2 linked regions of the Ovis aries genome follow. The protein of the gene in region 1 interacts with the protein of each later gene in a pairwise test. Links are inferred from orthologs where the notes say so. Each region holds a gene or a part of one and is shown on either strand. Other genes may lie near its edges.

What was found. The genes of interacting proteins can lie anywhere in the genome.
Region 2: the proteins of TNNI3 (region 1) and TNNC2 interact in binary tests that used the Homo sapiens proteins (3 or more experiments, as listed by UniProt). The two-hybrid records come from large-scale screens. The link is inferred for Ovis aries from reciprocal best matches to the Homo sapiens genes TNNI3 and TNNC2.

What each region holds. Positions count from the first base shown.
Region 1 is NC_056067.1:63,047,534-63,051,532, reverse strand, and holds the start of TNNI3 (troponin I, cardiac muscle), read right to left. Parts: upstream 2,854-3,999; 5' UTR 2,710-2,853; coding exon 2,699-2,709; intron 2,401-2,698; coding exon 2,385-2,400; intron 2,233-2,384; coding exon 2,146-2,232; intron 1,730-2,145; coding exon 1,688-1,729; intron 1,410-1,687; coding exon 1,278-1,409; intron 898-1,277; coding exon 808-897; intron 304-807; coding exon 127-303; intron 1-126. UniProt on the Homo sapiens protein: Troponin I is the inhibitory subunit of troponin, the thin filament regulatory complex which confers calcium-sensitivity to striated muscle actomyosin ATPase activity.
Region 2 is NC_056066.1:74,576,227-74,580,210, forward strand, and holds the start of TNNC2 (troponin C, skeletal muscle), read right to left. Parts: upstream 2,844-3,984; 5' UTR 2,780-2,843; coding exon 2,771-2,779; intron 1,200-2,770; exon of another isoform or gene 1,119-1,199; coding exon of another isoform or gene 1,116-1,118; coding exon 1,064-1,115; intron 917-1,063; coding exon 773-916; intron 686-772; coding exon 571-685; intron 405-570; coding exon 268-404; intron 1-267. UniProt on the Homo sapiens protein: Troponin is the central regulatory protein of striated muscle contraction. Tn consists of three components: Tn-I which is the inhibitor of actomyosin ATPase, Tn-T which contains the binding site for tropomyosin and Tn-C.

The sequences.
Region 1 (3,999 bases):
GAGGACCCTTACCAGATACTTCTCCCCACAACTCCAAATATCACCCGCCCTCAGGCTGGGCCCTAGGATTGCTGCCCACTACCTCCTCCCCCAAGCACCCCCTTTCCTGGACTGAGCCACACTCACCTTCTCCGTGTCCTCCTTCTTCACCTGCTTGAGGTGGGCCCGCAGGTCCAAGGTCTCCTTAGCCCTGGCGCCCAGCAGTGCCTGCATCATGGCATCTGCAGAGATCCGCACTCTACGCAGAGTGGGCCGCTTAAACTTGCCCCGAAGGTCAAAGATCTTCTGGTTCAGATCTGCGATCTGGGTGAAGCCATAAAGGGAGGTGGAGACCCCCCTCCTCTTCCTGCTTACCTCACTTCTCCACCCTACACTTCTCTCCTATCCCTAGCCAGGCTCTCCCTAGTTCAGGCCTCTACCACCTTCAGGATGAAATCCAAGCTCCCCATCCTGTAATTGGATACCCAATTTGCCTTGGCCTCATCTCTGAAAGCCACCGACACATCCCAGTCCAGTTACATGCATCTCACAGGTCCCTGGCCCACACTTGAGCTGACTTACCAACACTTGAGGCTCCAGCCACAAATGTTCACAAACATATTTCCTGCTTTGTCCCCTCCTGGCTTTTGTGCTCATCCCTGACCCTATTGTGCTCATCCTTCTGGCCTCTCCCTGCCAGGTTCACAGAGTTGTCCTGCGTCTCCTGGTGTCTGCAGCTGTAAGGAGCTGCAAGGGGCCAGGCTGAGACCAGAGCCTGAATCATCCCACACTACCCCAAAGGGACCCAGGCTGCCCAGTGCCTCCCACCTCAGTGATGTTCTTAGTGACTTTCGCCTCCACGTCATATCTCTCCTCATCCACCTTGTCCACTCGGGCGTGGAGTTCTCGGCACAAGTCCTGGTGGAGGAATGCGGTGTGTGTAGTGAGGAGAAACCCCAGGATTTGGACTCCTGGGTCTGAAGGAGGAGGGGTTGGGGACCTGGAGGAGTAGATTGAAGTCAGACCCTGGGGAACTTTAGAGGTTCTAAAGTCAGAGGTTCTGAGAATCTGGACTGGAGTTGGGCTGGAGGAACCAGTCTCTGCGTTTTGAGGTTGTAGGCAGCTGGGGGCCACATTTCTGAACTCCTAAGGGTGAGAATTGGCAAATTGGGCCCAAAGGTCCTGAGCAGAAGAGTGGGGGCATCGTAAGTATACCCCTGAGTCCCAAGGGACGCAAGATCGGACACTAGGAACCTGGGAGCCTAGGCCGGGCCGGAGTCCCTGGTTAGAACCAGTACCTGGAGCTCCGCGAAGCCCAGCCCGGCCAACTCCAGGGGCTGGCACCGTGTGCTCAGAGCGCGCCCCTTCTCTCCTCGCCGCTCCTCGGCCTCCCGCTCCAGTTCCTGCTTCGCAATCTGCAGCATCAGGGTCTAGGGAGGGGGTGCCGGGAACCGCGGCCCAGTGCTGGGATGAGGACGCTGCGGGGTAGTCACCCTCACCGGGCCCCGCCCTCTAATCCCAGGCCGGCTTCCAGAGACCTGCCTCCTCCAGGTTGATGTCCATCATTCCCGGGCCCCAGCCCTCCCTGGCAGGGCCATCCCGCCGCCAAACTTTTCAGGCCCCGCCCAGTCGCTCACCCGAAGCCCCGCCCCAACGTCCAAGACCCGCCCCCTGAAGACACCTAGCTTTTCCGTGGGCTCATCCGTACCTTCAGCTGCAGTTTTCTCGAGGCGGAGATCTTAGACTTTTTCTGCCGGGTAAGACAGCAAGGAAGGATGACGGAGGACGGCGGGAGGAGTATCAGAATCCCGCCCGTTCAAGTCAAGTCCCTCCTCCAACTCCAGCCCGCGGGAAGCCACGCCCCTCATCCCCATCCACCAATCTGGGGCCTATAGCTAGGCTCCGCCCACCGTCTCTAAGCGTTCTCAGGTGCGGAGGCGGCGGGACTCCGCCCATCCTCAAGCTCGCACCAATCAGACGTCGGCCCTCTGCTAAGCCCGTCCCATAAAGGCCTTACTCCTCTTGGGCTCCGCCCACCACCAAAGTCCCATGAGGGCCCTGGCTCCGCCCCGCCTCCCCAGGACGCCAGTGCCCTAAGAACCTGAATCTAAACCCTGCGAGGCGCCCCCCGACCGGCCCCGCGCCCTCGCTGGCCCCCGACCTCACCTTGGCGTGCGGCTCCGTGGCGTAGGCGCGGTAGTTGGCTGACGAGCGGCGTCGGACAGGAGGGGGCGCGGAGACCGTGTCCCCCGCCTGGGGTTGGGGGAACGGGGCTGAGTCACGACGGGGAGCCCCCCTCCCCAACCCGTCTCCCTGCCGTCTTCCAGGGCTGCAGTCTCTCTCCCCAGAGCCCTTCCCGCAGCCCCCTCCCCGGGCACGCGGGACCAGCCCACGCCCGCTCTCACCGTACTGCTGCCGCTCCTGGAGGGAGAGAAACCAAGAAAGCGGGTGACTGGTGGGCCTGGGTCCTGTCTAGTCCGTGTCCCAAGGGACCCCATAGGCCCTTCTGACCACAGTTCCGGCCTACCAGCTCCCCATTCTAGGCTCCTAGGGGTTGGAGTCCCAAGCTCTCACCTCATTCGGACACCCGGGTTTCCTGTCCTTACCTCCTTCTCAGAGTGGAGTCCAGGCTCGCAACTCTCACTCCTCACAGGGACCCGGGAGATGAGCCCCCACCCGCCTCCGGCCTCAAGAGCCCAGGTTACCAGTCCTCACTCACCGGTCCGCCATGCTGGGTCTCAGGCCAGGAGCTGAGGGAGGCAGAACCCCGGGAGCAAGGAGCTCTTGGAGGGTCAGGGAGGGAGCGTCCGGAGTGACCTTGAAGGTCCCTGGGACTTGTCTCGTCCGGTCTGCTCAAACCTCACTGAGGACACTGAGATAAAGGGCGAGGACGGAGACTAAATATACTGCTGCCCCCTCCTCCCCCTGCCCAGGATTCGAGATAACGGGGCGCGTGAGGGGTGGGGCGGGCCATGCTCCAGCTGGATCACCCCTTCACCTTGGTGGCCTGGGAATCCAGCCCCTTCTCCCTCAAATCCAGGGGTCCAGGCCCCCCACCCCTCCTCCCTCAGACCTGGGGGTCCAGGCCCCCCACCCTTCCTCCCTTAGACCCAGGGGTCCAGGCCTCCCACCCCTCCTCCTTCAGACCCAGGGGTCCAGGCCCCCACCCCTCCTCCCTCAGACCTGGGGGTCCAGGCCCCACACCCCTCCTCCCTCAGACCTGGGGGTCCAGGCCCCCACCCCTCCTCCCTCAGACCTGGGGGTCCAGGCCCCCACCCCTCCTCCCTCAGACCCAGGGGTCCAGGCCCCCCACACCTCCTCCCTCAGACCTGGGGGTCCAGACCCCCAGCGCTCCTCCCTCAGACCCAGGAGTCTAGGCCCTGCCCCTTCACTAAACTGCAGTCTCCTTGAGGGCTGGAACTTCCTCACTGTGTTATGCTCAGCCTCAGTGCCCCAAACCTGTTACCCAATCAGTACAGTTTGCTGATTCACTTGAGGATACAGGTGTGGGGTGCCCAGGCTTTCAGCAGTTCATTCACTCAGTCGTGTGCGACTCTGCGACCCCATGGACTGCAGCACACCAGTCCATCACCAACTCCCGGAGTTTACTCAACTCATGCCCCTTGAGTTGGTGATGCCATCCAACAATCTCATCCTCTGTTGTCCCCTTCTCCTCCCGCCTGCAATTTTTCACAGCATCAGGATCTTTTCAAATGAGTCAGCTTTTCGCATCAGGTGGCCAAAGTATTGGAGTTTCAGCTTCAACATCAATCCTTTCAATGAATATTCAGGACTGATTTCCTTTAGGATGGACTGGTTGCAACCCAAGGGACTCCCAAGACTCTTCTCCAATATCACAGTTCAAAACCATCAATTCTTCAGCACTCAGCTTTCTTTATAGTCCAACTCTCACATCCATACATGACTACTGGAAAAACCATAGCCTTAACTAGACAGACCTTTGTTGGCAAAGTAATGTCTCTGCTTTTTAATATGCTTCAGCAGGTAGCACATAAAAAT
Region 2 (3,984 bases), on another chromosome or scaffold:
GGACGCTTACGAGTCTCCCCGCGGAGGACGAGGCCAGGTCCCGGGGGTAGGGGGCGGGCCTAGCCTCTTAGACCGGGCGCCCGGCTATTAGCGGATGCATTGCACAAAACCGGCCCGCGGGAGGCGGGGAGGGACCTGACCCCACCCCACCCCGCCCCCCCCCCCCCCCCCCCGCCCCGCCCCCGAGGCGGAGGACGCCCGCCGGGAGGCGAAGGTCTGGGGGCTCCCGTCCCCGCGCCCCGGTCCCCGCGCGCCCCAGACCCTCACCGTCGAAGTCAATGCGGCCGTCGTTGTTCTTGTCCCCGTCCTTCATCAGGGATTCGAGCTCCTCGTCTGTCACGTGCTCCCCGGAGGCTCGGAAAATCTCCGCCAGCTCCTCGGCGTCGATGTAGCCGTCCGCGTTCCTGCGGGCGTGTAGGGCCTGGGCGCGGGGCTCAGGGCCCGCAGGGGCCAGCCTCCCGCGCCACGCCCCCCGCCTGCACCCCCAACCGCCCCCCCGGAACCTTCGGGCCCTGAGAGCCAGATTCAGACTGCTCCGCGCCTTGGCTGTTCCCAGGGCCCCCGACGCACCTGTCGAAGATGCGGAAACACTCAGCCAGCTCCTCTTCGCTCTTGCCCTTGGCGTCCTCTTTCATCTGGCGCACCATCATGACCAAGAACTCCTCGAAGTCGATGGTGCCGCTGCCTGAGGGGAGCGGGTGGTGAGTGGGCCCAGCCCTGGCTGCCACGCCACCCACCCTCCCACCCCGCCTCCCGAGGGCCGCCGGCTCACCATCCTCATCCACCTCTTCGATGATGGCGTCCAGCTCCTCTTTGGTGGGTGTCTGACCCAGCATCCTCATCACGGTGCCCAGCTCCTTGACGCTGATGTCCCCGCCGCCGTCCGCGTCAAACATGTCGAAGGCGGCCTTGAACTCTGCCAGGGCGAGGAGTGCAGAGAGCCGAGGTGAGCCTGGCGAGACTGTCAGCCTCACATCCACATACTCTCTCCCCACCTGCCCAGACACTCCAGGTTCCCCGGCACCCCGCCTCCCAGCAGCCAGCCTGCCCACCCCTAACTCACCAGCGATCATCTCCTCGCTGAGGTAGGACCGGGCCTCAGCCTGCTGGTCGGTCTGCAGAAAACACGGGCCATCAAAGAGTCAAAGGGACAGAGGGGAGTACATTCCTGCCTTCACCCCGTTATCCTGCACCCCCATTTCTGTACGTGCCCCCTACGTCCCTGCAGAGCAACAGCTTCCAGTTGCCCCACTCTGGACATGCCCCCACAGCACCCAGCCCCACTTTTGAAGAACTGGGGATTATGTCTCACTTGTCTATCAGAGATCAAGTCAGGGCCCCCCACCCCATGACTTTCCGCGAGTCATTAATGTACCTCATTCCCTGATCTCTTCTCAGCAGCTTTTCAGGGATCAGCTGGAATCAGCCGAATGAGAAGGTTTTGTAAAGTGCCAGCATGGTTCCAGCATGATTTCTAGGTTCCCTACCTGCTCATCACACTTGGTACTTTAATAGTGAAGTCACTCAGTCTTGTCCTACTCTTTGCGACCCCGTGGACTGTAGCCTACCAGGCTCCTCTCTCCATGGGATTCTCCAGGCAAGAACACTGAAGTGGGTTGCCATTTCCTTCTCCAGGGGATCTTCCCAACCCAGGGATTGAACCCAGGTCTCCCGCATTGTGGACACTTTAACCTCTGAGCCACCAGGGAAGCCCGGTACTTTAATAGGTGCTCAATAAATGTTTGTGGTCACACAAATAATAATGTGACGGAAAGTTACTGAGTCCTGACCAAGGGTCAGGCCATAGACCAGGCACTGTTTCCCAGGTGGTTCCCAGGTACCACCAAGGAATCAGGCACATTCCCTCCCTCAGAACTTGCAGAGACAGAGGGTGTAAGCTTCCTTCCGCGGACTCAGTCATCAGAGTAGATACCACTCGGTGCTGGGCAGAGTGGGATGTGGGCCTTGTGGGGGTGACAGGTGGCTCTGGAGAGTTCCGATCACATCCAAGCCCAGCCACCCAGCCGGGGCTCTGGACTGAGGCTGGCCCTGAGGGAGTGCTGAAGCATCCTAGGAGTCCTTTGGCTGGCTGGCTGGCTGGCTACTGCCTGTCCTCCCTGTCTCCCTCCTCCCCTTCCCCTCCCCCTCTTCCCCTCCCCCTCCCCAGTCCTGAGCCAGAAGGGCAGACTATTTTTAGTAAGGCATGGGCAACAGCAGCTGCCCTCCGGGTCTAGTTACTCCTTGAAGAGAAGTGGGGAGGGCTCACCGAGGAGAAGCACAGCCTCAAATCCCAGCCCCTCTCCGGGAGGGTGACATCTCTCTAACCCTGCTCTGTCATCTTTGGCCCCTTGGAGCTCTGGGGGTCCTGCTCCTGAGCAGGCCTCCTGTCTTCCAGAGGAGGGCTTTAGCAAGGCTTCCAGCCCATCCCCCCACCACCACTCACTGCCTTGCTGGATAACCCCCTCTCCACCACGAGGGAGACAAGCTAAGGCCCACTCATGGTCCCCTGATCCACACTGCTAGAAGCCTCAGAAGATCTCAGGGAACCAGCAAGCCTAGAGGATGGGCCCCTGGAACGTCCTCACTAGCCGTCCCCTTCCAAGACAAGTCCAAGGCCCTCTTCCAACCTTCCTCCCAGACACCGGGATTCCAGGAGCGTTCAGATTCCATCTTCAAACATCCAAGTGACTGCCCCACCAAGCACCCAGATCTGAGAGATGCCCAGAAGAGCTCCAGTGAAGGCAGAGAGGAAGTCCCTTTGGATCCTTACCCTTACCATTTTGCGTGTCCACCTGGACTCCTTCGCTGTAGGTTACCTTCTCCGTACTCCACCACCCAAAGATGCCCTGGCCCGCTCTAGCCCCTCGGATTTGTAGGGGCATCCTCTCCTCCCACCTCCCTGCTCCCCAGGACCAATGCCCTGGCCAATCAGATCCTGGGGTCAGTGAGCCACCTCCTCCCAGAGTCCTAGCCCATTACCTAATTTAGCCAAGGGCCCTTGCAGAGAAATTTAAGCCTCTGAGCAGGTGGCGAGCCTTGACGTCCTAGATTCTTGTGAGGAGAACCCGCCTTGCTCTGCCACTCCTAGTGAGCCCCCCCACCCCGCCCCCAAGAAGCACACTTGCTCCCAGATGGGTGAGGAAGATCAGGATAGAGGAAAGAGAGGCAACCGTAGTAGCATGGAAGAGCACAAGCCTTGACGTTCAAAACCCAAGATCCAAGTCCTGTCTCTACAAGCTGTGCATACGTGGGCAGGTGGCAATGCCACTCTGAACTTCAGTTTCCTTGTGTGTGAGATGGAGACAGTCATAACCTCCCTCCCAGAGAAACCATGGTAAACAGGAGCCTGGGTTTAAGTCACTGGGCTTGTGCCAAATACTTAAAGTCAGTGCTTTGCAAATGGAGTGTTTTGTCTTTGGATCAGAGACCAGAGGGGGACAGGACAGGATGAGGGGAAATTGACAGCCACAGTTACTGAACCTCTGCGACGTGCTGCACATGTGCTAAGCGTTTTAATCATCTGATCTCACCCAATACTCATCCTGTGAGGTAGCAACTATGGTTATTCCCCTTTTTACCGGGGAGGTTTGTAAATCATAAATCTCTGTAGTCACGTTGGGGATTCTTATTCATCCTGACTGAGGGGAAGTTGGGGCAGACGGTCTTCCAGAGAGACCTGTCTGGAGGGAAAAATGAATAGAGGGGTCCAGGAAACGGGGTGTGCACTTGGAAGAGAAAGAAACATTGAAAGTAGATTCTTCTCTCAAGCTTACCTTGTCCAGGAAAGGAGGTTTGGGGATTCACTCTTTTAGGAGGGGAGGGGACCAGAGGAGGTTTCCCTAAGTAAATGCAGGGACAGCTTGCCCTTTGCTGGAGCTCAGGGAAGATGTCTGGAGGAGCTCAGCTGGCCTCCTGGAGAGTGAAGGGGTGGGTAGATCAAGTCAAATCCAAAGGGAGACCACCCTGAGAATCCACGGCCTCCAC